Oryzias latipes: one gene and its partner. The protein of the gene in region 1 interacts with the protein of each later gene in a pairwise test. Links are inferred from orthologs where the notes say so. Each region holds a gene or a part of one and is shown on either strand. Other genes may lie near its edges. The genes, in order: dapp1 and fxn.

The links.
Region 2: the proteins of dapp1 (region 1) and fxn interact in binary tests that used the Homo sapiens proteins (3 or more experiments, as listed by UniProt). The link is inferred for Oryzias latipes from reciprocal best matches to the Homo sapiens genes DAPP1 and FXN.

Annotation. Positions count from the first base shown.
Region 1 is NC_019880.2:24,363,776-24,379,711, reverse strand, and holds the start of dapp1 (dual adapter for phosphotyrosine and 3-phosphotyrosine and 3-phosphoinositide), read left to right. Parts: upstream 1-8,529; 5' UTR 8,530-8,802; coding exon 8,803-8,861; intron 8,862-15,827; coding exon 15,828-15,936. Other genes in the region: atp10d (probable phospholipid-transporting ATPase VD), read left to right, coding at 1,620-1,804, 2,156-2,438, 3,243-3,319, 3,409-3,534, 4,000-4,200, 4,766-4,846, 4,927-5,031, 5,136-5,323 and 1 more. UniProt on the Homo sapiens protein: May act as a B-cell-associated adapter that regulates B-cell antigen receptor (BCR)-signaling downstream of PI3K.
Region 2 is NC_019867.2:419,041-434,790, forward strand, and holds fxn (frataxin, mitochondrial), read left to right. Parts: upstream 1-8,520; 5' UTR 8,521-8,620; intron 8,621-8,726; 5' UTR 8,727-8,822; coding exon 8,823-8,906; intron 8,907-8,968; coding exon 8,969-9,123; intron 9,124-12,043; coding exon 12,044-12,164; intron 12,165-12,273; coding exon 12,274-12,371; intron 12,372-12,786; coding exon 12,787-12,925; 3' UTR 12,926-13,365; downstream 13,366-15,750. Other genes in the region: ftcd (formimidoyltransferase-cyclodeaminase), read right to left, coding at 2,211-2,294, 2,365-2,460, 2,700-2,838, 2,927-2,970, 3,043-3,204, 3,276-3,402, 3,469-3,530, 3,603-3,734 and 6 more; serine/threonine-protein phosphatase 6 catalytic subunit, read right to left, coding at 13,821-14,069, 14,400-14,609, 14,699-14,778, 14,844-14,985, 15,045-15,110, 15,173-15,268.

The DNA of each region.
Region 1 (15,936 bases):
GCCAGAACGCTGTTCTTTGTGTCACTTTTCCTAGCAATTTATGAGACTTTTTGCTTGGCATAGCTCAACAACTGTCAGAAAATGTGTTAATAAGCCTGACGCCTCAGCCACATGTGGAAGGAGCTACCGCTAAATGTTTCCTGCCTGGTCGCGACATGGAGCGGTGTCTGCGGGTCTCATCCTAATGCATGGAGGATGTTTAGAGCAGTGACGTGCGCTGAGGGTTGTGGCTGGTGAGGCAGATTTACAAACAAATGAGAGGCCAGTACAGGTCATTTTAGAAGTGGAGAACATTTTATGTGCCACCCATTGTATTTCAAAGAATCCACAAAAGAAATGCTTTCTAATTATTCTTACATGTCTTGAGACCAAATCTACAGAAACTACGAGAAACGAGTGCTTGAAAATAGTTTTGAAAAGAACAAATCAGTCTGGAGTAACCCCTGAAAGGCCATTTTCCCTTGTTCCCCTCCTAATGTGTAAATCCAATTTTAAACAAAAGTTCAAATTAACCTGAAAGTTATTTTTATGGTGTTGTTTTATTGAAGCCCCCAACTGTGTTAACATTTGTTTCCATGTACAAAAATGTCAAATGATTATCCAAGGAACATGCGTCCCACAGCATGACCCTGACCCTATTATCACAACCTTTGTTTTTAGCGACACATTGATCCTACTATTGATGGATATGTAGGAGGCAATCAGAAAAGTGAAGGTTTACTTTTTTATGCATTTTGATGCCCGACACGACACACCAAGGTGAATACCACTGACTATAACAGTCAGAACTATCGCACGCACACGAGTCGACCTTTGAATTATTTTTTTTGAGATTACGTCAGCCATTTTCCAGTCAGTCAAAGCAAAACAAAATACTGGCTCTTATTAAATAAGACAAATGGAAAAACAAATGAAAGCTCACCAGCGCCTTCTCTGTTGAGACAGTGCCACTGCGTACTCCATCGACTATGTTTGGGATTGCTAAGGGGTTGCCTTTCCAAATCTTGCAGTTGCTATAGCAACCCTTAACTAGCCCCCTGACACAAAGAAACCAGGAAACATCTAACTGAGAAGAAATAAAATGATCTACTACCATCATGATCACAAAGGTTTTAGTAAAATTATGTTTACAAAGACCCTTAGCAAAAATAGTCCAAGTGTACTACAAGTCTGTTTAAATATTATAAAGTAAGGCAGTATACTTGAAGTTGACCTTTATATATACTACCTATGTATTATAAACGTAAATGACTTCCAACACTACATGTACATAGTCTTGGTGTACTTTTACTTTTACTCAATTATACTTAATAAAACAAACATTAAGTGTCGTACTTCCTGCTAAAGGAACAGTTGGTGGTTCAAATCCCAAACCCAACCCTCAATGCTGACACAGGTGTGAATTTGAACCCACAGTCTCCAGTGTCAGGGCAGACAAACAGACCCCTAACTCAGTCCAGGTTATTCCAATAAATCAGTTTATCTTCAGTGTGTTTTTTTAATTATGGTCTGTTTACACGAGTAGCTCCTGGAAGAGTTTTCAAACTACAAGGTTGGACATCTGTGGAGAAGCCCTGCAGTCACTTCATCAAATCCACAGGAATGTTTTTCTGCTTCAGGAAGCACAGGCATTGTAGACAGACTTCAGGAGGAGGTTCCAGAAACCATCGAAGCTCTTCAGAGGGCTGGCATCAAAGTGTGGGTCCTGACTGGAGACAAACAGGAGACAGCCATCAACATCGCCAACGCCTGCAAACTTCTCCGCTCCAGTGACCAGCTGCTGACAGCCAACTGTGATAACAAGGTCGGAGCAGGTCAAAGCTGGTGTTTGGGTCATGTTCCGGTGCAGGAGTGCACCCAAACACCAGGCAGCATGCGTTTGATCATGTCAGCATATAAGTGAAAACCACACAGCTTGCATGCTCCAAAAAATGTATTTTTTTCATTTTGAGTAAACCCAAAATATCCATATTTGTAATGACTGAATGAGGCAAGACTTGAGAGAGTGTGCACAAACCAGAATGTGGTCATCCTGCAACTTCATGTCAAAGCAAAATCCAGAGCAAGAAAACCCTCTCAGAATCAGTGGGTTGTGTTTTGTGGTGTTAAAGCAGATGCTTTACACAGATGTGCCTGTGGATGTTCTGTCCTGCAGGACGCTTGTGCAGCTCTACTCAACGAGCTCATTGTGGAGGTCCAGTGTGGACAAGAAGGTGTAAGCGAACAGAGAGAAGACCCGTCTTCTGGATCGACTGGCTTCATCCTGGCCATAGATGGTCGGACTCTGGACTGGGCTCTGCAAGAGGACCTGCGGAGCAGCTTCCTGGAGCTGAGCCGCAAATGCAAGGCCGTCCTCTGCTGCCGATCCACTCCACTGCAGAAGAGCAAAGTGGTCCAGCTGGTCCGGGACCATTTAAGGGTCATGACCCTGGCTGTGGGTGAGGCTACAGACCTTTTCACCAATTTATATACTCAGCAGTGGAAAAAAGTTGCATTTATAAATCTCCAGTTTACTGTTAAAGTCATGTAAAGGTTCAGAGACATAAAACATTTACTGGCAGTCTCTGCATTTCCAGTCAAGTTCACACGACTGTCCCAGAAAGGATCTGTCCTAGTCAGCCTGGCAGAAAACAACACAGAAAAAAATCTGGGATCCTATTTGTTTGCCTTTCACCATGATATAAATAATAAGCAGTTTAGTGAGATCCCCTGTTCTGTGTAGCTCTAACTGTGTCTAATACCATGACCAGTACCTAAGGACCTCTGACCTCAGACATGGTTTAGCCACACAGCTGCAGGCCCGTTTACCAGGTGTGAGGGGAACTGTTGGGTTTCCAGACAAACTATTCATAACCGACTTCACCGCTTTGACTGGAATGACAGACGACCATTGCTGGTGATTCTGCTGGATGTTTGCAGTGGACACAAGACCACGTGACCTGGACATTGACTCGTTAAAATATCCGTAACTTGTTGTGAGTTGTGTAAATTCAGTCATTTCTGTGGATCATGAAGGCTTCTGTCACTCCCCGCACTAAGAGTACATGAAGACTGTTTGAGCCAAAGCCGACGCAGCTCATCAAAAGTCACAAAAACACAGAAGATTAGATTCATCTGTATTTTTCTAGAACTTACTACCAAACAAAAACTTATGTTGTTTGGAAAGTGAGGGATGAGGTTTACGGATGTGGAGAAGAGTCCTACAGTCTGTGTACGAATGTCTGACGAGGTTTGCTGCACAGGTGATGGAGCCAACGATGTGAGCATGATCCAGGTGGCAGATGTCGGCATCGGCATATCCGGTCAGGAGGGAATGCAGGTAATCACAAAATGAGGGGGTGTTTACTTTTAAATGACCCTAACCTTGAGTTCCTCCTGAGCTCCTCACCAGCATGTCTCCTTCTCCAGGCTGTGATGTCCAGTGACTTTGCCATTCCCCGGTTCCACCTCCTCAGGAAGCTGCTGCTGGTTCATGGACACTGGTGCTACCATCGCCTTGCAAACATGATCCTCTACTTCTTCTATAAGAATGTGGTGAGTCCTTCGTGCACAGATGACGCAGAGCTTCCTCTTCTACCAAAATGTTGTCTGCGTAGATGAAGGTCACTTTTTTTGAAGCCATCCTCATCACCTCATCTGGAGATCTATTTTCTAACCCTGGAAATGAATTTCAGACTCATTTTTTTTAACACCCCAATCGTCTCCCCAATCTTTGAGTCAATATTATTCTACTTATTGAAAAGTCTTCAATGCAGGTTCCAAAGTCTTCTGCCTGCCCCCCCCCCCATATAAGATGTTCTATTTCCACCACTGACCTAGAGACACCTGATCCAGCTGATTCACCATGAAAACCTGCAAGCTGCTTGGTCTGAAGGAGCAGAATTTGGCGCCTCTGGTGTCAAACCAGTTTAAATGTCGATTTAATGTGACAGAGCTCATTCAGTAACAGATTCCCTAAGAAAACAGAAGTGCAGTCTGACTGAGTCTGTGCGTCCACAGATGTACGTCAACCTGCTGTTCTGGTACCAGTTCTTCTGTGGTTTCTCTGGGAGCGTCATGATCAACTCCTGGGTGCTCATCCTCTTCAACTTGCTCTTCACTTCCGTCCCTCCTCTCATCTATGGAGTTCTGGATCAGGACACGGCTGCAGACGCTCTTGAAGAGCATCCTGAGCTGTACCAGACTGCACGCTCCTCCAAGGTGAAAAAGCTTTCTTAAGCTGCCGCTGTCTCGATGGCTGAACTGTTCCGATGGGTTCAGGGTTCCTCAAAATCTCCTTAGAGGGTTTTTCTCAGTAATGTTTCACATATGACACCAAGGCCAGATATCACTGCCAGAATCCTGACAGAATACAGATTCAAACAGAAATCAATTACATTTAAAAGTCAAGTTTCTGTTCTTTAACTAATTTCTTTGGGGAAAAAAGGGTTTTAATATACCAAGTGATTTGAAGGTGAACATTTCTTCAAAACGATTTATAATTCTCACATTAAAACTTAACACAAAGGAAACGATAGATTTAGAGAATTAAAGAATTGATGTTGCAGATGAATGGGATTAACCAGCCCTGCATGAGTGCAGAACAACATGCTGAATTCATTAGTTACAGAGTCCTCCGGTTTGGAGGCCTATGGATGGATGGATGGACGGACGGACAGACGGACGGATGGATGGATGGATGTGCTTTTGATGCTTGGAGGCCATTGGATAGATGGATGAATGTGCTTTAGATATTTAAAGGCTGACTCTGTGAATTGATCCACAGGTCTACGTTCCCTCCATTTTCTGGATCACAATCCTGGACGCCTTCTACCAAAGCTGCGTTTGCTTCTTCATTCCTTATTTTGTGAGTATTCTGCAGCGTCAGTGAGGGTCATTGCATCGCTGGTTCTGATCCAAGTCCATCTGTTCTGCTTCTCCAACCAGGCCCTGGCAGGGTCAGATGTCGAAAGTTTGTCCTTTGGCTCCCCGATCAACACCTCAGCTCTCTTCATCATCCTGCTGCACCAAGTCATCGAAAGCCACACGCTGGTCAGGATCTGTGGAAGCCAAGTGGTTCTTGTAACGGGACCACAGTGCTGTGATGGACCAGAACCCAGATTTCAACCAATCGTGTGTTTCTTTCTGTGTTGCAGACATGGATTCACGCGCTCGTCTTGTTTCTCAGCGCTGCCTCCTATTTCGCCTTCGTGCTGCTCTTCAGCACCTTCTGCATCGTCTGCAGCCACCCCACCAACCTGCTGGGGGTGGAGCCTCGGCAGCTGAGCACACCCCTCTTCTACGTCATCTGTGCCGTCACCACAGTGACGGCCCTGATCCCCAGGTACAAACACACACTGATCTGTTTGTTCATGTGATCACTAAAACAAAAGAAACAAACTAAATGAAATAGAAAATGTTTTTTTCATGACATTTTCAAACAATCCATAAAAAGTTACATTACTTGAAAGCTAAACCATAAAAGGAACGTTTTAACCCTCTTTTCATAGAAACAATCAGACATAAATCAAAAGAGTACACTGATGCAGTTTGAATTTTAGTTTAATTGGGTCAAATTGATATTTTGTGAAAAGGATTTCGTTTAACTCACTGGAGCACATTGGAGAGGAGAGAATCAGTTTGGCGGACAGAAACTGGAACAGGAGGAGAATCATGGAGGGTTTGGGACAGAAGATCACAACCTGGCCTGATTGGTGGCTTAAAGATGAAGAAGCAGTGATGTCATAGAAGGCAGGGTCAGGGTGATGACATCATCTGACTCACTGATGCTGAGAATTCAGCAGCTTTCTGTGCTTCAGCGGTTTTTCTGTTAACTCCTCCTCTTGACACGTATAGTCTGGTGTTTGCTGTTCCCGTTGATGGACCTCCTCCTGAACCTCTGGGCTCTGCTTTGCAGGATTTTGTTCCGGTCTCTGTTTAACACCGTGCACCCCTCCGCTCTGTTGACCAAAGACCAGAGACAAGAAGCAGCTTCAGAGTCGTACCGCAGGAGGATGCAGCGCTGGAACCAAAACCATGCTAGAACCGGGCTCCCAGTGTGCGCCGACAACCCCGGCATGGTGCCCAGTCGGGAGGAGGTGCTGTCTTGACCATGTGGGTTTTCGGTGGCCCCTCCTGCCTGCCGCTCTTAGAACCAAAGCTGGTCTGGACTGTCCTCATGAGCGGCAGGGAGGATGGGAAGCTGCAGTCCAGGATGAAGCGCGCTCAGGCGGGCCGTGTTTACATGGCTGTCAGCTGTTTGACTGTTACGATGACGACCCGCCTCTGCTCTTGTTTACTCGCCGAGCTGGACTCCATGAGGCTGCATGGTGCCGAGGCTTCGGACTTCTTAAAGCGCTTCAATAACATTCTAGCCAAAGTGAAGATGATCAGGACAATGCTCAAAGAGTGGACACCGTTGTTTTTTTTTTTTTACTTTTATTTGTAATAACTGACCATTTCATGTTTTATATTGTTGAAGTTTGTTCAAATCAGATTTCATCTGTCTACTTTCTGAACCCCTGAATCCCTTTTGGGGGTCAGAGGGCTGCTGGAGCCTATCCTGTCTACGGTCCTGTTAAATTCAGGAACGAAACCAGGAAGGTTCTGATGAGACGGCAGGGTTCTGATGAACCTCTGAGCCAGGCATCAGTGCCCATTCTCTCAGGAGAAACCGTGAAGTGACCTTACCACTCCATCATGCACAAATGCTGCAATAGAAGTTTTTAGTGGAATAATGGAAGTTACCAATCATCAATGCTTTTGCAATAAACAGCTTTATGAATTTCACTTTTGTTTTTTGATCATGTTTTTTCTGACACAAATGCCTTTGAAGAGCCTTAAGTGAGACACAAACATCCATCCATCTTCTTCTTCTTCTCATCTGGGACCGGGTCGCAAGGGCAGCAGTCTAATCAAAGATGCCCAGACTCTCCTCTACCCGGCCACTTCCTCCTCCGGGGGGACCCCGAGACGATCCCAAGCCAGCTGAGAGACTTAGTCTCTCCAGCTTGTCCTGGGTCTTCCCCGGGGACCCCCCCAGTGGGGCACGACCAGAACACCTCCCCAGGGATTGTGTCCAGGAGGAATCCGGACCAGACACCTGACCTACCTCTACACTGTCTGGAGCTTTTGCCCCTGGTAGGGTCTCCCATGGCAGACAGGTCCTGGGTGACGAGCCAGACGAAGAGCGGTTTAGCCCTTGTGCTATCCTATGGGGTCAAGATGACCATTGACGTGTTCTCCCTACCATGACAAAGGTGGATAAAGGTGAAGAGGATTTCATGGAATCCATGGAAACCAGTGAAGATCACAAATCATTGAATAAAAAAGGTTCAGAGCACTGTCTAGTGCACATGTCCTGCATGTTTTCTAACCAATCTATCATTGAAGCTCCTGATTGGCTAAACACACCTGATCCAGGAAATTAGCGGCAAATGAGACAGGATTTCTGAAAAACCAGCAGGAGGTCGGCCCTTGAGGCCTAGAGTTTGACAACACTAGTCTAGTGGGTCTAGATGACCCACTCCCGATGTTAAAGTGCCTAGGATAGCACAAGTGTTATATTCACCTTTCTAAGAAGTACAAGATTCCACTTGTGACGCTCGGATTGGTGTCACCGTGGCCCCACCCTGGAGCCAGGCCTTGGGTTGGTGGCCAGTGCCCCTCCCCACAGCCCCTATTGGGTCCGGCCTGAAGAAACGGCGTGGGATCCCTCTCCTGTGGGCCCACTATTTGCACGAGAGCTCAAGTAGAAAAGCCTTTGGCTGATGTTAAAAAATTGGATGAAAGGTCTCAGATTTCCTACTAAAACTGTTGGTTCTGAACTAAACACAAAGTAGAAAAAACTCCATTTAAAAATCAATTAAAGATCCAGTTCAATAAAAATCATTTTTTGGTTTTTTTAACATGTTCGTGTTGCATTATTCTGACGATGGAGGACATGTATAAAGAAAATTAATTCATCCATTAATCGTTACGCGATATCAGAAGCAGACAAAAAAATGCATTCTGATATAGAAAGATTTTTGACAGAAAATCTGCTGGGCGGGGCCACAAGCTTCCTGCTCTGCTCCATTCTGATGCATCCACCTGCAGTCAAACAGATCCATGTACGTCTTTGTTTTCCTTCGTCTGAGCTGGAATCTGGATCTAAACTCTACGGCTGGATAGCTCAGATATTGCTGCCATTTTTGTTGCGCTGGAATGTGAGGGGCTGTAAGCTAGCGGGAGAGGGTGTAAACAGAGAGCTCTCAGGAAGGGAGGGAAGGGGCGGTCCCGCCCACAACTCAGAGGTGAGTTTCTAATGAACTCTGCTTTGGGTTCACATCTCCATTAAAGCACTCTTATCACCGAGCTTTTCTCAGCACGTGAACAGACATCCAGGAAATTTCCCTGACTGCTTTGTTGAAACAGGAAACAGTAGTATTAGGTCACCATACCCCCCCCCCCCTACAGGACTGGATGAATTGGGGGGGGGGGGGGGGGGTTCATGTCAAATAGATAAAAATAAACAAAGGAACATTCAGAGAGTGAACGGACAGAAACCGGCACAACCGGAACGCAGGTGTGGACCGCAGCTGACGAAATGTTGGGGGACGGGCTTCACATAAGCTCCTCCCCCTGGCATTCGACCAGACTTGAGTTGGTCACGCAGTTCACGCGCCGAACCATCTACATTCACCCGCGGTTCTGGTCGCGGACGGAGATCCCTGAGTCAGTGCGTCTCGGCGGGCGTGTCCGTGATTGACAGCTTTGACTTCCGGTCCGGCCGAGCCCCTCATCATCATCATCATCATCATCATCATCTTCATCCTCATCATCATGAGCGTGTACAGCGACGCGTCCTCGGAGGATCTCGGGGACGAGCTGCAGAGTCTGGGGTGAGTAACGCGTTACTCTCCCCCCGCTGAAGAAATCCGTTACAGTTTAGCGTTTCTGGCTTTGCACGCGGTGCTTTGAGGAAGCAACAACAGAGTTGGTTCATCATTAACTTCTGCTGCAGGAAGAAGTGCTACCGACCGTCAGAAGATGACGGTCCTCTCTGTTGGGTTTTCCAGAACCGCTGTTGTTGGTTGTCAGTCAGAACTTTCCTGAAGGAAGTGGACACTGAAACCAACCAATGAAGAACAGTCAGAACCCTTTGGAAAGCAGATGATGAAACTTCAGGTCTGAAGTGATGAAACCCTTCACTTCATCTTTGGTTGACCAACTTGAGTAACTGGAGAGAGTCCTGCTCCTGTCAGCAGATGTTCTGGTCCACTCCTCCAGAACAAACATCTCAAACCGTCTCAGCTTGGTGGACGGGTCTTTCTTGCAGGAGGGATGCTTCCTGTTTTTGGACCATTGTCTTGTTTGATCCCTGAAGACAGACTCCAAGCGTTCGGACATTTGGCACAGACTCTGACGTAGCCCAGACCATAAAGGATCTCCCTCCGTGTTTCACAACAGGAACCGACTGACGTCTTTTCTCCTTTCTGAGTGAACCAAGGGCTGTGGGAAACAGCTCTGGCTTTGTGTCACTCGTACAAAGGACGGTCTCCCATAAGAAAATTTTCTTCCAGCAGCGAGTTCCTCCTTGGGGACACTGTAAAAGTTTGGCTCAAACATCTGATAGTGGATCTGACTCTGATGACCTTGGTGTAGACCAGGGGTCTGCAACCTGGAGCTCTCTTCAGCCAGAAAGCCATACTTATGGCTTATGGCCTTCACTTATGGCTTTCTGGATGAAGAAAATAAAAACAATTATCATTTTATAAGAGAATTTAAGTTTAGTCTGTTAGACTTAGAAATGTATGGCTAAGATAGTTCTATAACATTGTTTTTAGTCGAGAGACCTTGTATGGAAGCGTTTCTGTAGCATAATTTAAAAAAAAAGTCACTACAGAAATGCTTTTCATTTTCAAGATGAAGCTGCTTTTGTTGACTCAAAATGAAAATGAAAAAGCAAATTGGCTTTTTCTTTTTCCTCTTAATCAAATGACTCAGAAATAAATTTAAAAATCCATCTTTCAAAATGCGTTTTCATTTTCTACATCGTTGTTGCGCATCTTGTGACATAAATAAAGGGAAAATGCAAAGAGGGGATTGCATTTTTGCTTCCATATCCCCCCGCAAAAAGTGTAGCAGAATTCAATCTAAGTCGACATTTCCAGGAGGGAGGGGGGCGATGACGTCAGTGCTAACTCTCTGTGGCTCGATGCGCTGCGCGAGCGAAGCATGTCTCTGGTCAATGCAGCCGGACTTGTAGCTTCGTGTTTGAGGCAGGGGAGGCTGCTTTGTGACAGTGGGCGCTCTGGAGGACGCTTTGTTTGTCCGGCTGTTCTTCGTGAGCGAGGTGCCGGACTCGGGAGGACCGTGTCTCCTCGCAGAGCAGCACCTTCGAGTCTGCTTTCAAAGACAGAAGTGCCGCTTCGGACAGTCCTGAGAAACCGTTCAAACAATCATGTGAATTTGTGTTTCCAATCCGGTCCAGACAAAATAAATGCTGGTCCTATTCCCACATATTTCGGCATTGGCCACACAGAATGTTGTTGGCACGTAATATTCGCTTAATCCTACTCCTTCTCCTGAACCATATGATATTTTTTACATAGACCCCATAAATCAGGTCCCCTGGTATTATTATGTCCCTCTCGGGTTAATGCGGCACAGCCAGCTTTCAAACTTGGTCAGAGAGAGATGGAAACACTGCTACAGCAGCCGCCATCAAGGGAGCTGAAGCAGAGACTTTCTCTGGGAGAATCTCACGAACTCAAACATGGAATCAGGATGTATTCAAAATAAATAAACCTGATCTCTCAACATTCTCTGTGTCTTCCATGCATTGTAATTGAGATAAACACAGACACTGCTCCATGTAGCAACCAGGCTAAAAACTTTAGCTGGTAGCTCCTCCCACACGCGGCCTGGTGCGTTCACGGAGCTCCAGTACATAGAAGCTTAGCGGAACTCCAACAGCCACACATATTTCCATGAGAAAATAAAAACCGCCGAACCGACCGCAAAGTCGCCCAAACTATGCATAAGCCATTTTTAACCGCAAATTTAGAACCAAAACGAACCCAATCTGGCGAACAGCGCAGACAAAGAGTGAGCACCTCCCCTTTGGCCCCCCCTCCGTCCTGGAAATGCTGACTGGAATTGAATTCTGCTACACTTTTTACGAGGGGAGGTGCAAACGATTGCATTTACGCTTTATTTATGTCACAGAATGTGCAATGTTGATGTAGAAAATGAAAAAGCATTGTGAAGGATGGATTTTTAATTTTATTTTTGAGTCATTTGATGCAGTTTCATTGTGAAAATAAAAAGCATTTCTGTTAGTCTAATTATAATTGTCAAATAAGATATTTGTAATGTAATTTTGCTACATATTCACTAGAGAACTTTTTGAAAATCAAATGTCAAATACCATTTTCTTTATCGTTTTAATTAAGAGACAAAATGAGCGGTATTGAAGAAGAAAGAAAGTGGTTTGGCGGATTGTTTTTCATTTTAATTTTGAGTCAATGAATGCAGCTTTATTTTGAAAAGGAAAAAGCATTTCTTGTATTGACTTTTATTTTTAATTATGCTACAGAATCGCTTCCTTATATGAAATAGCACCATCCCTCATTTCAAATGCAGAGCAAAGTCTTGGGGAAAAATTTCATCTTTGAGTTAAAGCGTACCTTTAAAACTATTTATCTTACATTGTTCAAAAACGTTTAGTGGCTGTCCAGAGGTTAATGAGAAAAATATGTCTTTGTACTAAATACTTTTTGTATTGGATCTTAAACTAAGAGAGTCCTCATTAGTTAGTAGGGGAAATGACAGCCCACCAAAGTAGATCTATATCTAAAAGAGAGGAAATGGACTGGTGTTTTCATTCAAGCACATTTGCTGCAGCAGATGTAGCTCAGGCTGTCTTACTGTTTGTTATAGGAACTCATCTGTGCTTTTGTCTTGTAAAAAACAATTTTATTGCTAGAACAGGGTTCTGCAACCTTTACCCCTCAGAGCCATTTGGATCAGTTTCCCAGAGAAATGAAAACACAGGGAGCTGCTACACCCTTTGGAAAAGCTGGTGTTTCCAGGGAACTGCATCATTTCACTCACTTTAAAAGTTCTTGAAGAGATGTTCATTTTTTATCCTCTGTCTTTTAACGGGTTCTGATGAGAACTATTTCCCCAGAGGCCTCAAAACTAGCAGATATGTGGTCATTAACCAGCAGATAATCCGCTTCTCCAATAGATTTTTGCAACAAACAACTATTTTCTTATCTGGATCAGGATGTTTTTGGGCTAAAGCTTCATGTTTATTATGGGATGTCTCACCACATTTGAGACTTTGTTGTTTGCTAATTCCTCGTTTCATATGAATCATTCTGGTAAAGTCGCTGAAAGCAAACATATCTGCAGGTGCCGTTAAACCTACTGTTTTCTTCAGGACATTCCATCCTTGTCCTGCCTGGGTCAGAACATTGTTGGGATCACACGTTGGTGGGAGTCGTGGCGGTGACGCAGGTCGATGGTCACACAGAACTTTACTTAGAAAAGTCTACCTTTAGATTTGTAATACTCAGCCTGTTAGTTTTTTGTTTTGTTTTTTAAAAGTCATGTTATGAACTTTTCCTGTTTACCGCTGGCCGACCGTAGTCTCCAGCACAGGGGAGCTGCTCCATGGACGAGCAGCTGCCCTGGTTCTGACCCGCTCCAGGGACGATCAGCTCACCTGGTTCCGTCCCGCTCCTGGTTCAGACCTGCTCACAAAAATACAACAGCTGGTCGATAGACGACCCGGAGAGGTTCTGCATGATGAGTAGGGCTGCACGATATGAGAAAAACCTGCGATTTGCGATATTAATGATCAATATTGCGTTGACGATATAACTTGCGATGCATGAAGAAATAGCAAAACAATCATTTACATCATCATTTACATTTCGTTGTAACAGTTTCATTTCAATAAACGTAAGTCACCAGTAACACCATAACTTAAATCATACTCCAAATGACCCTAATGTACAAACATCGAACATAAAAGATATCCATCAGCATGAAGGGATTTATTTGATTCGTTAAATTTTTCAAGGTGCCAGACGGTTGTTTTGGCACATTTAAAGTTACCATTTATCGCAATTTTTGTCGTCTTTTGCGATATGCACATACCGCGATAAAGATAAATTTGTGCAGGACTAATGATGAGGCTTTCATTCACTTCTCATTCAACATTTTAGGAGAACTTTCCATCCCATAACTGACTCTGGTCCGTGTTCTCAGCCGAAGACCCCCCCCCCTCCAGGGGATGAAAGAGCGGCATGCTGCTCCAGAGCCGCTAGAATAGCTTCTCTTCATTTTGCCAAGTTTTTTTAATGCTTAAGAGGCAAAAGTTCAGTTATTCTAATGATAAAAGAAAAGTACAAAAGTGCAGAGATGGTTACTCATTTGGTTCAGGAAAAGCCGCCCTGAATGGCTCTTTTTGGTGTTGAAGGTTGCAGACTCCTGGCGTAGACCTTAAGTCTTTGGAGATCCATCTCAGTAGTTTTGTGGGCGTGTGCTTCAAACCCAAACTCTGCTGCAGTTTCTAAGCTGGATCAAGCGTTAATGCAAGTGAAGAGCTTTCACTTCCCTCTGACTGTGCAGTGAAGCTCCGGATTTCTTCTAGAACGGGCACCCCCCTACCCCCCATATAGTAAAAGAACAAACCACCAGATTCAAATGACTCTGACTCAGGGCTGCTTGATGACTTCTATTGAGAAATAAACAGCTGTTACTCATCTGTGAGAGTAACCATTCTTGCCTGAAGCTCCCCTCACCGGGTTGGACTCTGTTGCCTTTAGAACTGCCTTAACGTGCCTAGTTTGTTCCATATTGTCATGACAGCATCATGCAGTTTCTGCAGATTTGTCGGATGTACATCCATGATGCCAATCTCTGGTTCCACCACATCCTAAAGGTGGAAGCCCCCTCCCTTGCTCCATTCTGATCCATCCACTTTCAGATGATTAGATCCATTTGCGTCTTTGTATTCTTTGTCTGAGCTCTAATATTGCTCGCCATTTTTGTTGCAGGGGTAATTTTATGTTGGGTTTGTTAGAGGCTGTAAGCAAGCAAGAGAGCACGTAAACAGATAGATGATGGGAAAGGGGGATGGGGTTGCTCCACTCAAACGGTCCTTCCCACAATTCAGAGGTGAATTTCTAATGATCTTCTCCCGTCCTGCAGAATATATGACATAGAAAACGACACAGGTCTTTAGATTTTGGCTAAAAACTGCACAGTCATGATTAAAAGAACACTGGGAACACTTTGAAAACAGTTCAAAAGATGATCAGAGTGGGACTTTTAAGTGATATTTATTAGGGATGCAACAATTTTATTAACCTCTTGAGACATGAGCTATTGTTTTATATGCTTTTTTAAACCTATTTCATAGTCACAGGTGATCAGAATGAAATACAGTTGGGGGAAAAAAGTGATGTCGAGCTATCTTGGGGTTAAATCTATTTAATGGTGTAAACTTCTGTTCTGTTTTGAATCCAGAATTGGGGCATCCCTAATATTTAGACATTTAGAGAAGCAATGGAGAGATGGAAATCATAAAAATCTTGCTCATGTCTTTGATATTTTGTCTATGGATCAGAATATAATTAAAGCATTGTCTGGTTCTTGTAGTATCCTCTAAAAACCAATAACTAAGAAGAAGGGTAGACCAGGTCAGAGAGATTGTGTAACTAAATTCGTTTTAAAAGCAAGAGACACAGCAAAATTATGGCTTCTCACTGGGAAAACCAATCTTTGAGCCAGAAAGCGTTACCAATGCACAATATAAGCACACAACACGTTGTATTTGTAGAAATGGTCAGGCTATGAGAGCAGCCTCCATGACCAGGAATCTCCTTTGTCACAACACACTAGACCTCTGGAAAGAAGTACTACCTCTGGTACAAAAACATCTCCATGTGTCATGGAGGGAGTTTCTGGCACTATGGCAACAACTATGCAGCAATAACAGTAGAATATTTAACTGTGTACAGAGTGAATTATTTAGTTTTTTATCTTAATACCATTGATATAATCATAAGGCACGAGGTCCAGATACAATATCTCCAGATGGTCAAGGGATTAAGCCGCTGGGCTTGATGGTTCATCTACTGAGGACCTACAGTTTGCTAGTGCAAATGTATTTCTACTAGTTTGATGACTTATCTTGGTCACAGATTTTTACTATGGTAGCTGCCGTGTTGGTTTCAGTGATAAAAAACATGGCGGTGTCTGTATGGTGGAAAATGACGAGTGAATTGGCTATTTTGTTAGAACCAGAAGTGAGTCATTTTCAATGGCTGACGTCCAGTTCCTATGTACAGTCAGTGGGGGCTTTTCTGGGTTGGAGGGGGACTCTGTCAGAGTGAGAGAAAGTCCAGATTATCTGCAGTGACTTCAAATCTTTGGACTACAGTCCATCCTGCTTGGCTGCTGCTGGAATTTGGACTCGAGGTTTAAGAAATGTTTTCTGTTTTTTTTAAGAAACCAAGAACGACCTCTGAAAAAAAAAAAACCTCTCCTGTAATCTCAGAGTCACTTTGCATGAGCTCGTTTAGAGTTTGAAGCTGAAGCTGGTCCATGAATCTGCTGGTTCTCCTTCATTCAGCCGCTCTATTCTGGTCCAAAGTTCAAATTCTTGTGGTTAAAGATTGATTTTTCTGAAGAGCAGACTCATTTTGGTTTCTTAGGTGTGTCTAAAATGTGATGGAGATCCTGGGGGCAGAATCAGATCTTCAGACTCTGGAGGCATTTTTCTGTTCCATTCTGAACCATCAGACTCCTCCATTGAATGCTCATATGCCGCTCCCTGTCTACTACAGGTGGTACCACTACGACCTGTCCCGCCACGCCGCAGAGGCCCTCCTCCTGTCCAACGGGTTGGACGGAAGTTATCTCCTCCGGAACAGTAAGGAGGGTCCGTCCTGCTTT
Region 2 (15,750 bases), on another chromosome or scaffold:
TCTGCGCCAGCATTATCACTTTACTATTATCTATTAATTCACAGAGTTTGTACCACCCGGAAACCTGTGAATTGCCGTGCCTAAAACTGCGCGCTCCCGTCTCTGAGAAAGAGCGCGCAGATGCGGGGACGGGATGTGTGAGGGAGAAAGCAGAGGGTGGGGGTGAGGGGTTGTGGGGACAGCAGGTGAACCGCGCAGGGATTGTAAAAACATAAAACCTGCTGCCCGTCACTCACTGCAGCGTGTGAGTGTGTGTTTGGCTCCACGTCTGCATGTGAGCAGTCTGTCTCACATCTACAGAACATTCAGACCTAAGATCACGTTTAAAGTCTCAACGCCTGAACGAAGCAGAAACTCACCACGTATCAACCAGACTAGACCATCAGCAGAACCACCACGAGAAATACTCATCATTTATTAGCAACAGCATAACAATGTTATTAAAAATAATCCACAGACTTATTGTACTTTAAAAGTGTTGAAATTATATCAAATGCACACATTCACTTGAATATTTAGTTTTAAACATATTGTAGCGGACTGAGTTTAACTTGGCTGTTGGGCCGCGTTAAAAGTTCTGGAGTTCCTTGAACGCATCAAGCACAGATCTGATTGGCTCTTAGTTCTGTCGCTCAGCCTGTTGTTAGTTAATTTGGACCAATGGGGTTCAGCTATGGGCCGAATAAGGGAAATGGGAGGCCTGGAGCGGGAGGGGGGAATATAAAGTTGGGAGAAGTGCTCTCGTCTCGGCAGGAGAGATTCAGGAGCTGCTGAATTAATTTACGGCATTTGTTACAGCCTGCATTAACCAGAATAAAGAACCTTAAAAGAGGTTAAGTCTCCATGTGGGAAAAGGACACTACATTATTGTATGGCTTTTTCGAAATTACATTTAAAAATATGTGGCGTTTATGGCTCTCTTGGCCAAAAAGGTTCCCGACCCCTGGTCTAGTGGGTCTAGATGACCCAACTGTCTAGTGGGTCTAGATGACCCAACTGTCTAGTGGGTCTACATCAGTGTTTTTCAACCTTTTCTGAGCCACGGCACACTTTAACCTTAAAAAAAATCCCGCGGCACACCAGCATCCAAAAATTAAAAAAAAGGAGAAACTCTAGTCTGTATTGATCTACAGCCCCTCCCTCCACAATCTTACATGCATTTTTGAGATAATTGTGTCAGAAAAAGCTGGAAACTGTTTTTTTCTAACAGATTAAATAAAAGTTAAGTTAGAAGATTTAAAAACTGGTTGTGTGTTCGTTGGTTTCAAGACGTTTAACAACAGATCTCCTTGTGCCCTGTCACTCTCACAACCCAATGCATCATGGGAGATGTAGTGCATAAAACGGCCAGAGATCGGTTTTCGGAGCTTCATGGTTTTGTTCACTTGTTCCACGGTCTGATACCGGACTCTGTGGAAAGCTACACCGCTAAAGACGAGCTTTAGCTGCTATGTTTTTTAGAACTGAGCGACTTTACGAGCTAAATCGGGACAAGGAAGTGAAGACTTTAACCACTTCTGATTGGTCAGACTGATGACATGTGATTAAGCCCCCCAGGAATGATTGGTGGAGACAGTTAAAGGGACGGGACTTTTCCAAAATACAGCCGAAGGTGCAGCTGAATCGCGGTACGTCGTTCTTATCAAAATGTATTTAATAAAATAAAATAAACGCAAAGAAAAAGTAATTTACGATCTTTTATATTCCTAACTCCTCAGTGTTTTATCAGGGCCTGTTTGGATGAACAGAGAGCTGAAATCCTGGAGATGGAAATGTTTTTAGATCAGTTAATGAGGGCAATTTTCCACGGCACACTTGTGGAAAAACACTGGTCTAGATGACCCCACTCCCAACGTTAAAGTGCCTAGGATAGCACAAGGGTTACAGTGAGGAATTAAAATGACATTTGTAGATTAATTCTCTATTAAAAAGTTAATAAAATCTTTTAAAAATGGAACTGATTTAAGTTTTTCAGCTGATTGTAAACAAGAACATTCCTCTTTCTGGTTAAAGAAACGTTTCACATTTGGGGTCTAATCGGTTTGGTTTTGGCCAATGGCTCCTCTTCCAACAGATACCGGTTTTCCTGCTGTCTAATGGCACACTCGGACGTTCTGACCCGGTTCCTGAACCCGTGGGTCCGGCTGCTGCCTCTACAAACACACAGACGCGTTTGAGGGAAGCTTTTATTTGCAGTTCCTTCAGGCCTTTCAGGTCCTGGTCTCAGCGGCGCGGAGGACAGCAGCAGCGCCGTCTCGGGCCTCCTGAAGCAAAGCGGACGCTCTCCTGTGTGTCTGCAGAACCAGAACCGGAGGTCAGGGCCTGCCTGGAGGCGAGGCTGCCAGCAGATGTGGGCGTACGTACCGCTGCTTTGAAGGCCTCGTCGGTGACGTCGGTGAGGTTAGTCATGATGTTGTAGTACGCTCCAAAGGCAGCCGCCTCCAGAGCTTTGGCTGCGACCTGGACAGCACACACCGTCAGAACCTTCATGGTTTCCACACATGGGGGGCCTGAAGGTCTGCATGCAGACTCTACAGCTTATGTGGCATTTATGTTGGACAGGAAACGTGCACATAATCCATCAACTCTAGCCTCTAGTCTGTCTGAAAGCCAGACTCAAATTTCAGCAAAAATGTCTGCAGTGCTCGTTGGAGGAGGAGGCGGAGCTTCATGAACCACGCCTGCAGCATCATTCTCACCTGAGCGTCAGACTTGCAGCTGATGTTTCCATGGACGACCATCTCCTTCAGATGAGGCCAGAGGGCGCTGATCCGCTCCGCCAGAGCCTCCGGGACGGCGAGCGCCTGCTGCAGGCCGTCCTGCATGGCGTCTTCTCTCCTGACAGGAGCAGAGGAGCATAAAACCACTGACACGTTGGCTCCAAGTGCTGCAGCTTTCAGCGCCACCTTCTGGCTGACATCCGTACCGTTTCTTTTCCTCCGCCGTGTTTTTTGGCATCTTCAGAGCCGCCTGCAGAAACACGACAGCCGTTTGGGTCAGACCGGGTCGTCCTGAATGTGCGGGAAGGTTCTGGGTTCTCACCATGTAGCTGTTGAAGGCGGACGCGTCGGCGTCCACCATCTGCAGGAAGTCGTTCATGGCCCGATGAAGAGGAGGAATCAGCTTCCTCATCACTCCGTCCAGGTTTTCATACTGCCTCTTCCCATAGGTCATCTGCCCCACCATGGCCCCCAGCGCCGCCCCCTACAGGTAAAACGCAAGATGACGATAAGGACTTGGATGTGGACGCCGTCAGAACTTTGAGAATTTCCCACCAGAGCAGCGATGGCAGCAGAGACCGATCCTCCTCCCGGAGCCGCCGTTCGAGCTCCAACGCTGTGAACAAACTGCCGCAGGGTCAACGAGCGCAGCTGCCCCTCCTCCTGCCCCTTCACCATGTACCTGCATGTAGGACGCAGCACCTTTAGCTCCCGCTCCTTCTGCTCCTGCGTGGGCGATCAGACTCACTCTATGATCCTCTCCTTGGGGTTGAACGGGCCGAGGGAGTCCAGGCCCAGTTTACTGACCACCTGCGGGCCAGAACATGCGGTTCTGTCAGTCGGAGCGGCTCATCGGGTCTCCACACACGGTTCCGTGCTCACCAGTCTGACTTTGTGCTCCTCTTCAAGGATGAAGAGCTGATCTCTGTGAATGTAGAAGTCAGCAGCGTCCAGCAGAGCCTTCAAAGGGATCAGACCCACGATCTGAGAGCCCACCAGCGGCAGCCTCAGCTCCTAGACGGCACAGAGCAGCTGAGGCCCAAGCCTGGACCACCTCATGCTGACGCCTCACCCACCTCTGCTGCCCTGCAGACCTCCTCATACACGGCGTGGAGGGGGGTCACCTCATAGTCCAGGATGTTGGTGGACACCTGGGCGATGTTGGCCTCCTCCAGGTACCAGCCCATCCCCTGGACCTTCTTCAGCAGGCCGGGCTGAGCGAGGAGGACACGAGGAGGAGATGCAAGTTCACTCATCTATACCTCCTTCTATCCACAAACATCTGCAGTCATGACCAGAAAGACCAGCAGCCTGGCTGTTGGGTCAGAAAACAGTTTATCTGCAAAAGTTTCTCATTTAAACTCAGGCGGGATGAAGCGGGTCAGCAGAACCCAATCTCTTCCACTTCCTGTCACCACGACGGAGTTTCTGACAGCTGTCTGCTGGAATGTGGGACCACTCCTTTCTAAATAGTTCTGTGTTGAGACTTTCTACAGATGTTCTATGGGATTCAGGGTGGACTGGGTTCTGAACCGTGGGATTTGGGTCATGGTGGAAGCAGCTTTCTGACGCTGGACTCACCAGACGTCATGATAACATTCTCACGGTCAAGCCGTCCAGAAGCTCCGCCCTCTTTCGGCAGCCTTTGAATACCTGGTTTCGGTTCTGTCATCAGTGCCGAGCCGTTCTTTACCAAAAGGTTCTGGTTCTGTCTCATCTGTGAGTCTGTTCTTTTTATCTACATAGAACTGAAAGGTTATCCATGTCATGGATGTACGGCTCTAACGATAACGGACACAACGGCACAGAGATGTCTGGAGATGGACGGGAAGCCCTGAGGTTGTCCATGTCCAGAAACCCCCACACCCCTTTACCCTGCATGTGGGGGGGCTCACTGACGGCACTAGAGAACTAGAGCCACCAAGGGCTCCTAAAATGAACCTACGCTATAACCACAGTCTGACTGCAGGTGGCGCCCTATTGGGCCTTTATAGATCTTCAATGGGAATCAGGTCTCCTCTGTTGCCATGGTGACAGCCCGTCAGTGGAATCTCTTCAGCAGGAAAGATTCCTGAAGTTTGTGGAATCTTGTACAGAACAACAGTTAACAGCAGTTGACTCCCAGCATGCACCTGGTTCTGGCCCCGGCCCTGCTCCCGGATGTCCAGCGCCACACGGTGAGCCTGCTCCTTGGTGCTGATCAGGTTCACGTTGTACGCGATGAGGAACTTCCGCGCGCCGGTCACCGTGGCGCCCCACGACGGCACGAAGGCGGCCGGGCCGAAGTCGGGAGTCCATTCCTGCCGACTGAGCTAAGAAAAGACGCGGGAATGAAGCCTGAAGACGTGAAGCGGCAGGTTTCCCAGCCTCACCTTGTCAGGAAGAGCCTCGTACTCTCCAGCACGCACAGACGGGAGCGCCCTCCTTGCCGGCGTGCCAGCCGCCTCTCCGTAGAGGTAAACTAAGAGGAGAAAGAGCCTCAGAACCAAAGCAGAACCGGCACGTCTGCTCCTCTGGGAGGAACCACAGGGAGCCTCAAAGCCCCGAGTCCATGGTCTCCATAGGAGGAGCCAACCTTTCTGTTCTACACCTCCTTCCAACCTCCTGTTGTTCCTCTGGAAGGATTCGAGTCCAACTGAAAAGGCTTCTTCATTCATCCGTTCAAATGTGTTATGCTTGTTTCCACATCATTAGTGGAACTACACAAACATTTGAACAGACCAGGATTGTGAGGTCACTTCCTCCTCATTACAAAGCTGGACTCCCAACGAACACAACTGGATCCACAAGGTGTGGAAGCACACGTGTGCTGATCTGAACACGCAGCACTCAGGTGTGCTGTAAAAGGCAGCAGGTAAGCTCACCTGTATCATTGAAAAATGGAAAGCTAGAAGAAATGTGAGAATGGGAGGAGGAGGAGGTGGAGGAGGACTTGAAGAGTTGCTCCAACCTGAACAAAGACGCAGAGGACCAAATTTGACTCAACAAATCTGTACAACACTTCTTGACCGCGACCTAAACCACGGACTGACTGATGGAAGCAGGTCAAAAGGTCAACCAAATCTCAGCAGAAATACTGTTGCTTCAGACATTTCATCCAGAAACAGGTAAGACAGCCACACAGTTCACTGACACTCAAGCCTGCCGTACTTGTAGGCTGCAAGGATGTTTTAACACTTGTAGTATATTTTTTCACATGGCATTGAGGGTCGAGGACGCCATGGTGGAAGGGGCTCTACGTTCCCCCGTACACAAGAGGGCGCCGCTTATGGCCAATAATTGCATCAGGCTGCCAGAAGTCCAAGCCAATCATGACTGATGGCCGTAATCACAATAACATCCAAAGAGTCTCTCTGTCACAATAGCTGGAAAGAAAAATGAAGAACACAAGAAAAACTGGATCAGAACCATGAGACAGACGGTCAGAAACCAGCACGGCTCATTTTACTGCTGGGTTTTGGGTTCTGAGGTTCTGGCTCCAAAGACATGCACAGGAGATGTGGAACAGCATCCTGGTGTCTCTTTCAGAGTCTTGCCAATGGCTGCAGATCAAATTCAGCCTGGGTTTCTACGCCTGGATGAGGCGGATTTACCCCCAAGACCAGGGAGAAATGTGATTGGACACCGGGCAATGACCAACGCGTTGGTGCTGGACCCCCCCTTACCTGGAACGTGCAGCATGTCCGCCAGCTTCTGTCCGAAGGCGCGGGAGCAGCCAACGCAGTCGTCCATGGTGACGTTCTGGACGGGGATGAAGGGGCAGACGTCCAGCGCTCCGGTCCGCGGATGCTCACCTGATGAGCAGGTAACACAGCTTCAGCGCCTCCTGCTGGGCAACGGCGGCCTGAACGGGGGGGTCAGACTGACCTGAGTGCTTGGTCATGTCGATGAGGCTGAAGGCCTGGCGGGCGGCGTTCAGCGCCCCCTCTACCACTGCATCGGGGGGACCCACGAAGGTGTAGACGGTGCGGTTGGTGGAGGCGCCGGGGTCCACGTCCAGCAGGCTGCAGCCCGCGGTGCCGGAAATGGCCGCTGAGATGGCATCGATCACCTGAAGAGGATGAAGTCCACTGACGGTCAGACGGCCAGCAATGATTGACAGGTGTTACACATTCACAGACACAGCAGGAGGCCCGCTCCTCCAAAGACCGGTCCGGTCCGGGTCGCTGTTCTAGTTATGTAAAAGAGAACGTTAGTCTTTGGTGACACGCAAAAAACTCCAGTGCTGCAGAAAGAACCAGAACCAGTGGTGAGCTGAGCCGGCTCGTCAGTTTGGATTTCAACCTCCTTCTAGGAGGAAGTTTCCTGCTGGTTGGTCCGGTAAACCAGAATTTCTGCTAAACCTGAACGCTAAGATGGATCAGAGGAGGGAAAGCAGCTCCAGAAAGGAAGGTCAAAGGTTACGGAGAAGTCCAAAGCCCGTCCCATCAGAGCGTCTGCAGCAGAACGATGGTTCTATCTGTGCTGAAGCTCCGCCTTTTAGAATCATCTGACTGAGAAAACAGCAGGAGAACATGGAGAACAGAGGGAGTACAGGAGGAGAACTGCTTCAACACCAGACTCACGGCAGGAACCCTGAAAGGATTCTAGAGTCCAGAATCCTGCAGTGAAGTTCTACAGTGAATGATGAGGTTCTTGATCTTCTGGTTCCGTCTGGAGGGATCTCTGACCCCCACATGAGAAGAACTGCAGTGGTTCTGGACGTGAAGCCGGACTTTACCTCCAGCTCAGTTTCAGTTCTGATTCCACATTCGGCTACGCCTGAGGATCCAAGAACCCAGTTTGGCAGCGGAGGAACCAGAACCAACAACCTGCAGAACCTTAACGGTTGTAGTTCCTGAATCTGGAGGATCCAGATGAAATGAGAACGCTCATGGACCCCCCCCCACATGATGTCTGGACCCAATCAGAACATTTCCACGGTTTCTTACTGGTTCACAGAGAAAAGCATCAGAGAGTTTGGCGAGGAGGGGGGGGCCTCTCGAGTCTGGACGGGTGGCGGTGCGTCTCACCTGCTGGTTTCGACCCTCGGAGAAGTTGGGGACACACTCCACCAGCTGAGCCATGGCGTCTGCAAACCGCAGGAAGGCGGCAGCAGGTCTCTCAGCGCTCCGCCAATCATTCACAGAGCAGCAGCTGATTGGCCAGCTCCTCCCGCAGGTCAGACGCCTCCTCCCGCAGGTCAGACTCCTCCTCCCGCAGGTCAGACGCCTCCTCCCGCAGGTCAGACTCCTCCTCCCGCAGGTCAGACTCCTCCTCCCGCAGGTCAGACGCCTCCTCCCGCAGGTCAGACGCCTCCTCCCGCAGGTCAGACGCCTCCTCCCGCAGGTCAGACTCCTCCTCCCGCAGGTCAGACTCCTCCTCCCGCAGGTCAGACGCCTCCTCCCGCAGGTCAGACGCCTCCTCCCGCAGGTCAGACTCCTCCTCCCGCAGGTCAGACTCCTCCTCCCGCAGGTCAGACGCCTCCTCCCGCAGGTCAGACTCCTCCTCCCGCAGGTCAGACGCCTCCTCCCGCAGGTCAGACGCCTCCTCCTGCAGGTGGCGGTGGAGCAGACGCTGCAAGACTCTTTCTGCTTTACTAAATGGAGACATGTCTGAGTCCAAACATGAATGTTTGATCTGGGATGAAGTTCAGGGTCCCACATGCCCCCCCCCCCCTGTTGATTCAGAGGGTCAAAGGGCAGCAGAGTCCTAGCTGCTGGGATGAACGTTCAACCACAGGGCCGGAGTCCGATAGTACTGTTGGGTGATGCAGAACCAGAACCCCGGCAGCCTTTCAGAAGAGGAAACTCCATCTCTGCTCCCATGACTGAGTATCACCCTCCCCAGGAAGGAAAATCCTCCTGGAGCAGAGTCCCGTCAGGAGCTTCTGGCTGTTCGGTTGGAGGAAGACTCTAAAGGTCTTTAGTCCTGACCTGCCATGCCACTTCCTGTTTCTTTGTAGTAAACTCATTCATCTGATCTTTCTTTACTGTGTTTTGTTGCGGTTCCGGTTCCGTCCAGCAGGTGGCGGTGAGGCGGATTCTGGGTCCCTTAAACCCACGAACAAGAGCAGAAGCAGCCGGTGACACTCTGCTGCGCCTCACCTTCATCACCTTCATCATGTTCCTGAGCGGCAGCGCGCTGCGCGTGTCCGCTAAGGTGTTTCCGCGGTCCGCTAGGAGAGGCATGGTCACGTGGCAGCAGGTAACCCGCGGTTAACGTAACAGTGCAGCTGAAACCAAACTCTGATCCCGACTTTGTTCCAGCTCCCGACTTCCGCCGTAGCGCCGGACTGGGCGGGAATCGAACCGCCGACCCGCAGACACAGAACCGCCAGACCGGCCCACGCGGTCTGGCTGTTGTCCAGAGGAATTCACCTGAGCCCCGGGGGGCGGAGTCAGGGGGAACCGGGCCCGGTCAGGTAAATTGCGGTCACTCTGCGTGGTGGGAGGGGTCACGAGTGCCACCAATCCCACAATGCTTTGCGGTCATTGAAAGCCAGAATTGATCATTATTAACCCTTGTGCTATCTTAGATGACCCCCCCTTCCATTGAGGTGTTCTCCCTACCATGACAAAGGTGGATAAAGGTGGAAAGATTTCATGTAATCCATGGACACCAGTGAAGATCACAAATCATTGAAGAAAAAAGGTTCAGAGCACTGTCTAGTGGGTCTAGATGACCCAACTGTCTAGTGGATCTAGACCAGTGTTTTTCAACCAGTGTGCCGTGGGAGATGGTCAAGTGTGCCGTGAAAAATTGCCCTCATTAACTGATCTAAAAGCAATTACCATCTCCAGAAAATCAGCTCTTTGTTCATCCAAACAGGCCCTGAACACTGAGAAGTTAAGAATTTGAAATATCATAAAATTATTTTTTCTTTGTGTTTATATGATTCTATTAAAGACATTTTGATAAGAATGACGGGATACCGCGATTTAGCTGCAGCTATAAGTGTGTAAGGAAAAGTCCCGCCCCTTTAACTGTCTCCACCAATCATTCTTGAAGGCTTAATCACATGTCATCAGTCTGACCAATCAGAAGTGGTTAAAGTATTCACTTCCTTGTTTCGATTTAGCGCAAAAAAGTCTCTGTTCTAACAAAAATACCAGCTAAAGCTCGTCTTTAGCGGTGTAGCTTTCCACAGAATCTGGTATCAGACTGTGGAACAAGAGAACAAAACCATGAAGCTCAAAGACGCTGGTCTTTCTGCGGTCGGCGGATTACGGGCACTACATCTCCCATGATGCAGTAAAGTGACTGTCTTAGCGCACAATGAGTCTCTCCTCTTAACGTCTTAAAACAACGAACACACATCAAACAGTTTTTGAATCTTTTGACTTAATCTTTAATACATCTTTAAGAAAAACAGCTGCAGCTTCCAGCGTTTTCTGCAACAATTATCACAAAAATGCATGTGAGATTGTGGAGGGACTGTAGATCAATACAGACTGAACTTTTTATTTTTATTTTATTTATCTATTTTTTTGGATGCTGGTGTGCCGCGGGATTTTTGTCAAGGTTAAAGTGTGCCGTGGCTCAAAAAAGGTTGAAAAACACTGATCTAGATGACCCATCTCCCAACGTTAAAGTGCCTAGGATAGAACAAGGGTTACTAATGTTAGCATGACACAGCAGAAAAGGATCTTTTGTAGTCACTGCTACATTTGTAGTCCGTTGCTCAGAGACGACCCTATAGAGAGAAATTAGACTCAGTCGGATTTGTGCGTAATTCTTGATTTGTGCGTAAATTAGGATTTGTGCGTGATTTGTTACTCACATAATACGTTTTGTGTATAAGTTAAAAAAATACAAAATGCAATTTACGTATGCACAAATTAAGATTACAACAGCTTGAAACTACTTACACACACACACATCTTTAAAAAACACGCACGAATCCCTTGTTACGCACACACGAAGCCAAAGTTACGCACGGATCTACCCTGAGACTGTTTTAACGTCTCACAAATTCGTCCGTAAGTGCTGCGTTTAAATACCAGTGGAATGCTCGGTCATTAGAATTTTCCTATATTTAACTTATACACAAAACGGATTATGTGAGTAACAAATCACGCACAAATCCAAATTTATGCACAAATCCGACTGAGTCTAATTTCTCTCCAGACGACCCCGACTATCATCTTACATTCAGTGAGAAAAGACCAAGGAGATGATCTCTGAGAACCGTTAACATCATCGCCATAGAAACGCTCACCTCCTTTAAATACCTGGGAGTACAGGTGGAACGTCTGCTGAACTGGAACCCTGACTCTCTCTGGGCCCGTCTGGCCCAAAGGAGGCACTTTTGACCACGTCTGAGTTTCTTTGGTGTCAGCGGCCGATGATGTGGACCTTTGACTCATCAGGACTTGAAGGCATCATCCAAACGGTCTGTGTGTCTGTTCCAAACCAAAACAGGAGTGGCAACACGGTGAAATCAGCCATGAAGGTCATTGGTACACGGGAAACTCCATCTGTGTGTTCCGTGACACGTCTGGGTCATGAGATCCTCAGTGATCCATCTCAGATTCTGTCTTCTGACTTTGAATTATTGCCATCTGCTTCAGAGCAGCTGAACATGAAACCAACCGAGATAAGAAGGTGTTGGTTCCATGAACAAACGGTACCGGTCCAGAACGGCCTCTGGCTGTTGTTTATTCCGCTCTGTGTTGTAGCTGTGGGCTCCTCGGCCCAGGACAAATGTCCCTCACGGGACGGTAAAGTATTGATGATGGTGGTGGGTTGTGGAAACCACGGCTGTGTCCAAATCTCAGGGCGGCGTTCTTCCTGGCTGCATTTGAAGTCGCTTACGTCACGGCGCCGCGACAAGTGCGGTCCAAATCCAACGGATACGGCCTTTTTCTAAATTCAAGGATTGGTCTGGGGAATCCTTCTATGCTGTCCATATCCCAAGATGCATTGCGGCCGAGCCCGGAGATTTTTTGACAACAATGGCGGACTGTGAAGCGGAACCTGGACTTGGAGCTAATTTTTAGACTTACTGCAAGATTAAAAGTTAAGCCAGGTAGATTTTGAGCTCCATGCCTGGTTCACTACTCACGGTTGCTAGGCAACAGGACATTCGCCAAGGTAACGGCTGAATTTCTCTAAAGGTTAAACTCGTCCAAATTCACAGTTGTAAACATCCGACCCACCAACGTCGCCGGCCGCTGGAGGACGCAGCCCTGGAATTTGGACACGCCCACAGAAATGACGGCTGAAGTTTGCTAAGTTCAGGAGAAGAAAAGCAGGCAGGAAGGCAGATGCTGCAGAAGTTTGGTAGCTGTGGCTCACTACTGCCCCCGGTGGAGTGGCTGACCCCTGTCTCTGTGTGACAGCCGGCTGTCTGAAGCCGCCTATGAGAAGCTGGCTGAGGAGACTCTGGACGCTCTGGCCGAGTTCTTCGAGGACCTGGCTGATGAGGACGTGGCTGGAGAAGAGCTGGACGTGCTTTTTTCTGTGAGTCACACACAGACGCTTCTCCAGTAATCCATAAAATACACCACCACCAGATCAGTGAACAGAACCGGATCAGAGGCTCACACCGAACGGTCCTTTCTGTGTCCAGAGTGGCGTTCTGACGGTGAAGGTGGGCGGAGACTACGGCACCTATGTCATCAATAAACAGACGCCCAACAAACAGATCTGGCTTTCTTCTCCAACCAGGTGAGACGAGCCGACAGCAGGATGGAGGGACGCTGCACGGGCGTTCATCACGAAGAGATCCCCAAGGCGCCTGATTGGGCCCTAAGATTCCTATTCAAGTTAAGGACAGGAAGTCCAGAAGGATCAGTTCTGGACTGTAGTTTTGTTGAAGGAAAGCTTTGATTGGTTAAAAAAAAGACGGGGGAGTGGCCTTTATCTGGGCCCCTGTGGGGGGAGGGGTTTACGGGCTTCAGATGGTTCAGAGGCTTCAACACTTAGTCGGTGCTTTGGTCAGGCGTCTGGTTTGAATGAACAGATGTTAAATGGTCCGGACTGAGGGTAGAACTCATCCAGAACTTTGTAGGTCCAAAGCGTTTGTTCTACATGACACAGAACATTCCAGCAACACGGTCTTGAAGTTCCTTCTCTGTTGCAGCGGGCCGAAGCGCTACGATTGGAGCGGCGAGCGCTGGCTGTACTACCACGACGGCGTCAGCCTCCACCAGCTGCTGTCCCAGGAGTTTTCCCTCATCTTCAAGAGGAACATCAACCTGCTGGACCTCCCTCATTCCTGAAACGGACCTCTGCGGAGTTCCGCCACTGTCGGCTGAAGGAGCCCCAGGTTTGATCCCAGAACACCTCAGAGGAACCAGGATGTTCCGGAGCAGCCCGCGTCACGGGGAAAAGAGCGTTCCTCTTCCTCTGCAGGTTCTGCTCTGCCGACAAATCAACACTTTAAGACCCGAGTCTGAACCACGTCATGATCCAAAAGACGGTTCCTCCTCCCCTGTGCGGTTCTGCTTCTTGTCTGTGCTAGAACGTCGGTTTCTGAAAGTTGCTTTGAGCCAAAGTCAGGAGGTGAAACAGGAATCCTCAGATTCTGCTGAACAACGTCAGGAAGAAGGAAACCAGTCGGGTCTCAAACCAGCAACCTCCTCTAGACCCGCTGCACCACAGCCCTGGGGGGGGGGTATTCTGTCTAATGTGAACCCTCATAAAGACTTTCAGACGTTTATCACAAACCTGTTTCACTTCTAGTCCCAAATGTTTTAGATCCTGGCTTGGAGGCTGCAGGAACGTGGAGGAACGTTCGGTTTCTGAGTTCTAAAGGTTCTAAATGTGGTTCTGCTCGGTTCCATCTTCAGGCTGGACCGTCTGGTACCTGCAGTAACCTGCAGAGGCCAGCAGGTGTCAGAAAACAAACATTTGAGGACCTGCAAACATTTTTGACCGTTTATTTAAAAACACATGAAGAGATTCCAGATGTTGGAAAGCCAGAGCGTCAGTGAATGCAGCACGAGTTTGGCGTGGAACGGCGACGCCGCCAGCATCAATCTGCTGCAGGTCAGAACCAGCAGGAGATCTTTAACGGCAAAGACGCAGGAATAAATAGGAGCATGTGGGCGGAGTCTTTTCTCTGAGCGGCTACATGCGGCGGAGGCTGGACCGTGGTCATCCGTCTGAGCGCGCTCACAGGAAGTACGGCGTGGTGGTCCGGGGCGGGATGACCCTCTCCGAGTCCGGCACGGCTCTGAAGAGCTTGGGTTCTCTGGTGGCGGCGTCTTTGAAGACCATGATAGAGGCGATGTTGCCGCAGCGGTAGCAGTAGTTGGGCGCCGACCACACGGTGACCAGCTTCTCATCGAACATGAACTTGTAGCCTTCATGGACCAGCTGGTGGGCGCGGCAGATCAGCTTCAGGTTGTTGATGTGAACGAACTGCAGGACAGAAGAGGGGGAGGGTGAGCTTCACGCCCGCAGCACGCCGCCTGCTGTGGCGCCCGCAGCACGCCGCCTGCTGTGGCGCCCGCAGCACGCCGCCTGCTGTGGCGCCCGCAGCACGCCGCCTGCTGTGGCATTCATATCAATCATAAATATTATTGACGGGGAGCTGTGGGGCAGAGGGACACCTCTCATCAGAAGTTGTTAGGTTCGATTCCCGCCTTACCCTATGAGGCAGATTTTGTTCAATTGAAGGTTTAGAAAAGGACGTGCTGGTTCTTCGGGTCAGCAGGGTGGACCCGGTGGTTCTGGAGCAGAAACTCGTACCTCGTTGGTGACTTTGGCACCAAACAGCCATCCGGCTCCTCGGGGGCTGATGGCCCAGGTGTCCACGTCTTCAGGGTCCGACCACACCAGGTCACAGAAGGCTCCTTTGTGGGGGATCTCCTGGTTCCGCTCGATGGTTCGGATCTGGTCCAGGGTCTTGATGTCGGGGGAGAGGCCGCCGTGCACGCACAGGACCTGCTCGTCCATCAGCTGGGAGGAGGAAGACGAGGAGGAAGGTGAGGAGGAGCTCAGACCTGTTCATTCTGGACGTAAAACAGAGAAGGAACGTTTGTACGAACCGCTGCCACCGTTAGCATGTCGAACACTTTGGTGCAGTAGCGCCACGCGTTGGCGTTCCCATATTTGGTCTGACACTCATCTGCAAGAAGAAACAAATCCTCAGCAAATCCGTTACGTAGCGGCTGATGATCCCTCTGACCTCACCGTAGAAGCCGTAAACTTGCGTGATCTGTCTGCTTTCATGGTTTCCACGCAGAAGCGTGATGCGGTCGGGCCACTTGGCCTTGAGCACCAGCAGGTACGTGAACGTCTCCAGGCTGTAGTAGCCTCTGTCCACGAAGTCGCCCTGCAGAGCACATGTCAGGAGCTCCGCCCACAAAGGCTCAGGAGCCCGCGTGAACTCACCATGAAGATGTAGTTGGTGTCGGGAACCTGGCCGCCGGTCCGGAACAGCTCGCAGAGGTCGTAGAACTGAGACAGACAGAGTCAGACCAGCGGAGGCTAGACGCTGCAGCAGCAGGTGACCGCCTTACCTGTCCGTGAATGTCGCCGCACACCGTCACCGGAGTGGACACGGGTTGGACGTTGGACTCCTCCAGGAGAAGATCGCAAACGTAGTCACATAATCTCTGTAGAGAAAGGGGCGTCAGCCTCAGACGGGTGAAGGAAAAGTTTACAACTGCTGCCATCGTTTACAGAACATCTGCAACACGCCGGATCGGTGCAGGAAGACGGGACAGAACTTTTTCTCACACATTACTTTCTTTCAAGCATAAAAGACAAACGGATCAAACATTGACACTTTCAGTTGTGAAAATGTTTTATAAGATACTACTGCAGTCCTAAACCCCAAAACTACTCAGAGCCTAACCGGAAGCTGAGATAAAACACTGGGAATAATCGACGGCTCCGCCCCAGAGTGACGTCACTAAGGGAACTCTCCATGGTAACTTCAATGTTTTGGGAAGAGAGTAAACAGAGGGTTTGCTTTGGCTTTAAAGGCATTCAGATGTTTAAAGATTTCGGGGTAAATAGACACAATGACGTCAGAAGAGCTCTTTGAATCATTTTCTTCAGGCAGCAGATCGGGCAGCTCCTCTGAACGTAAACA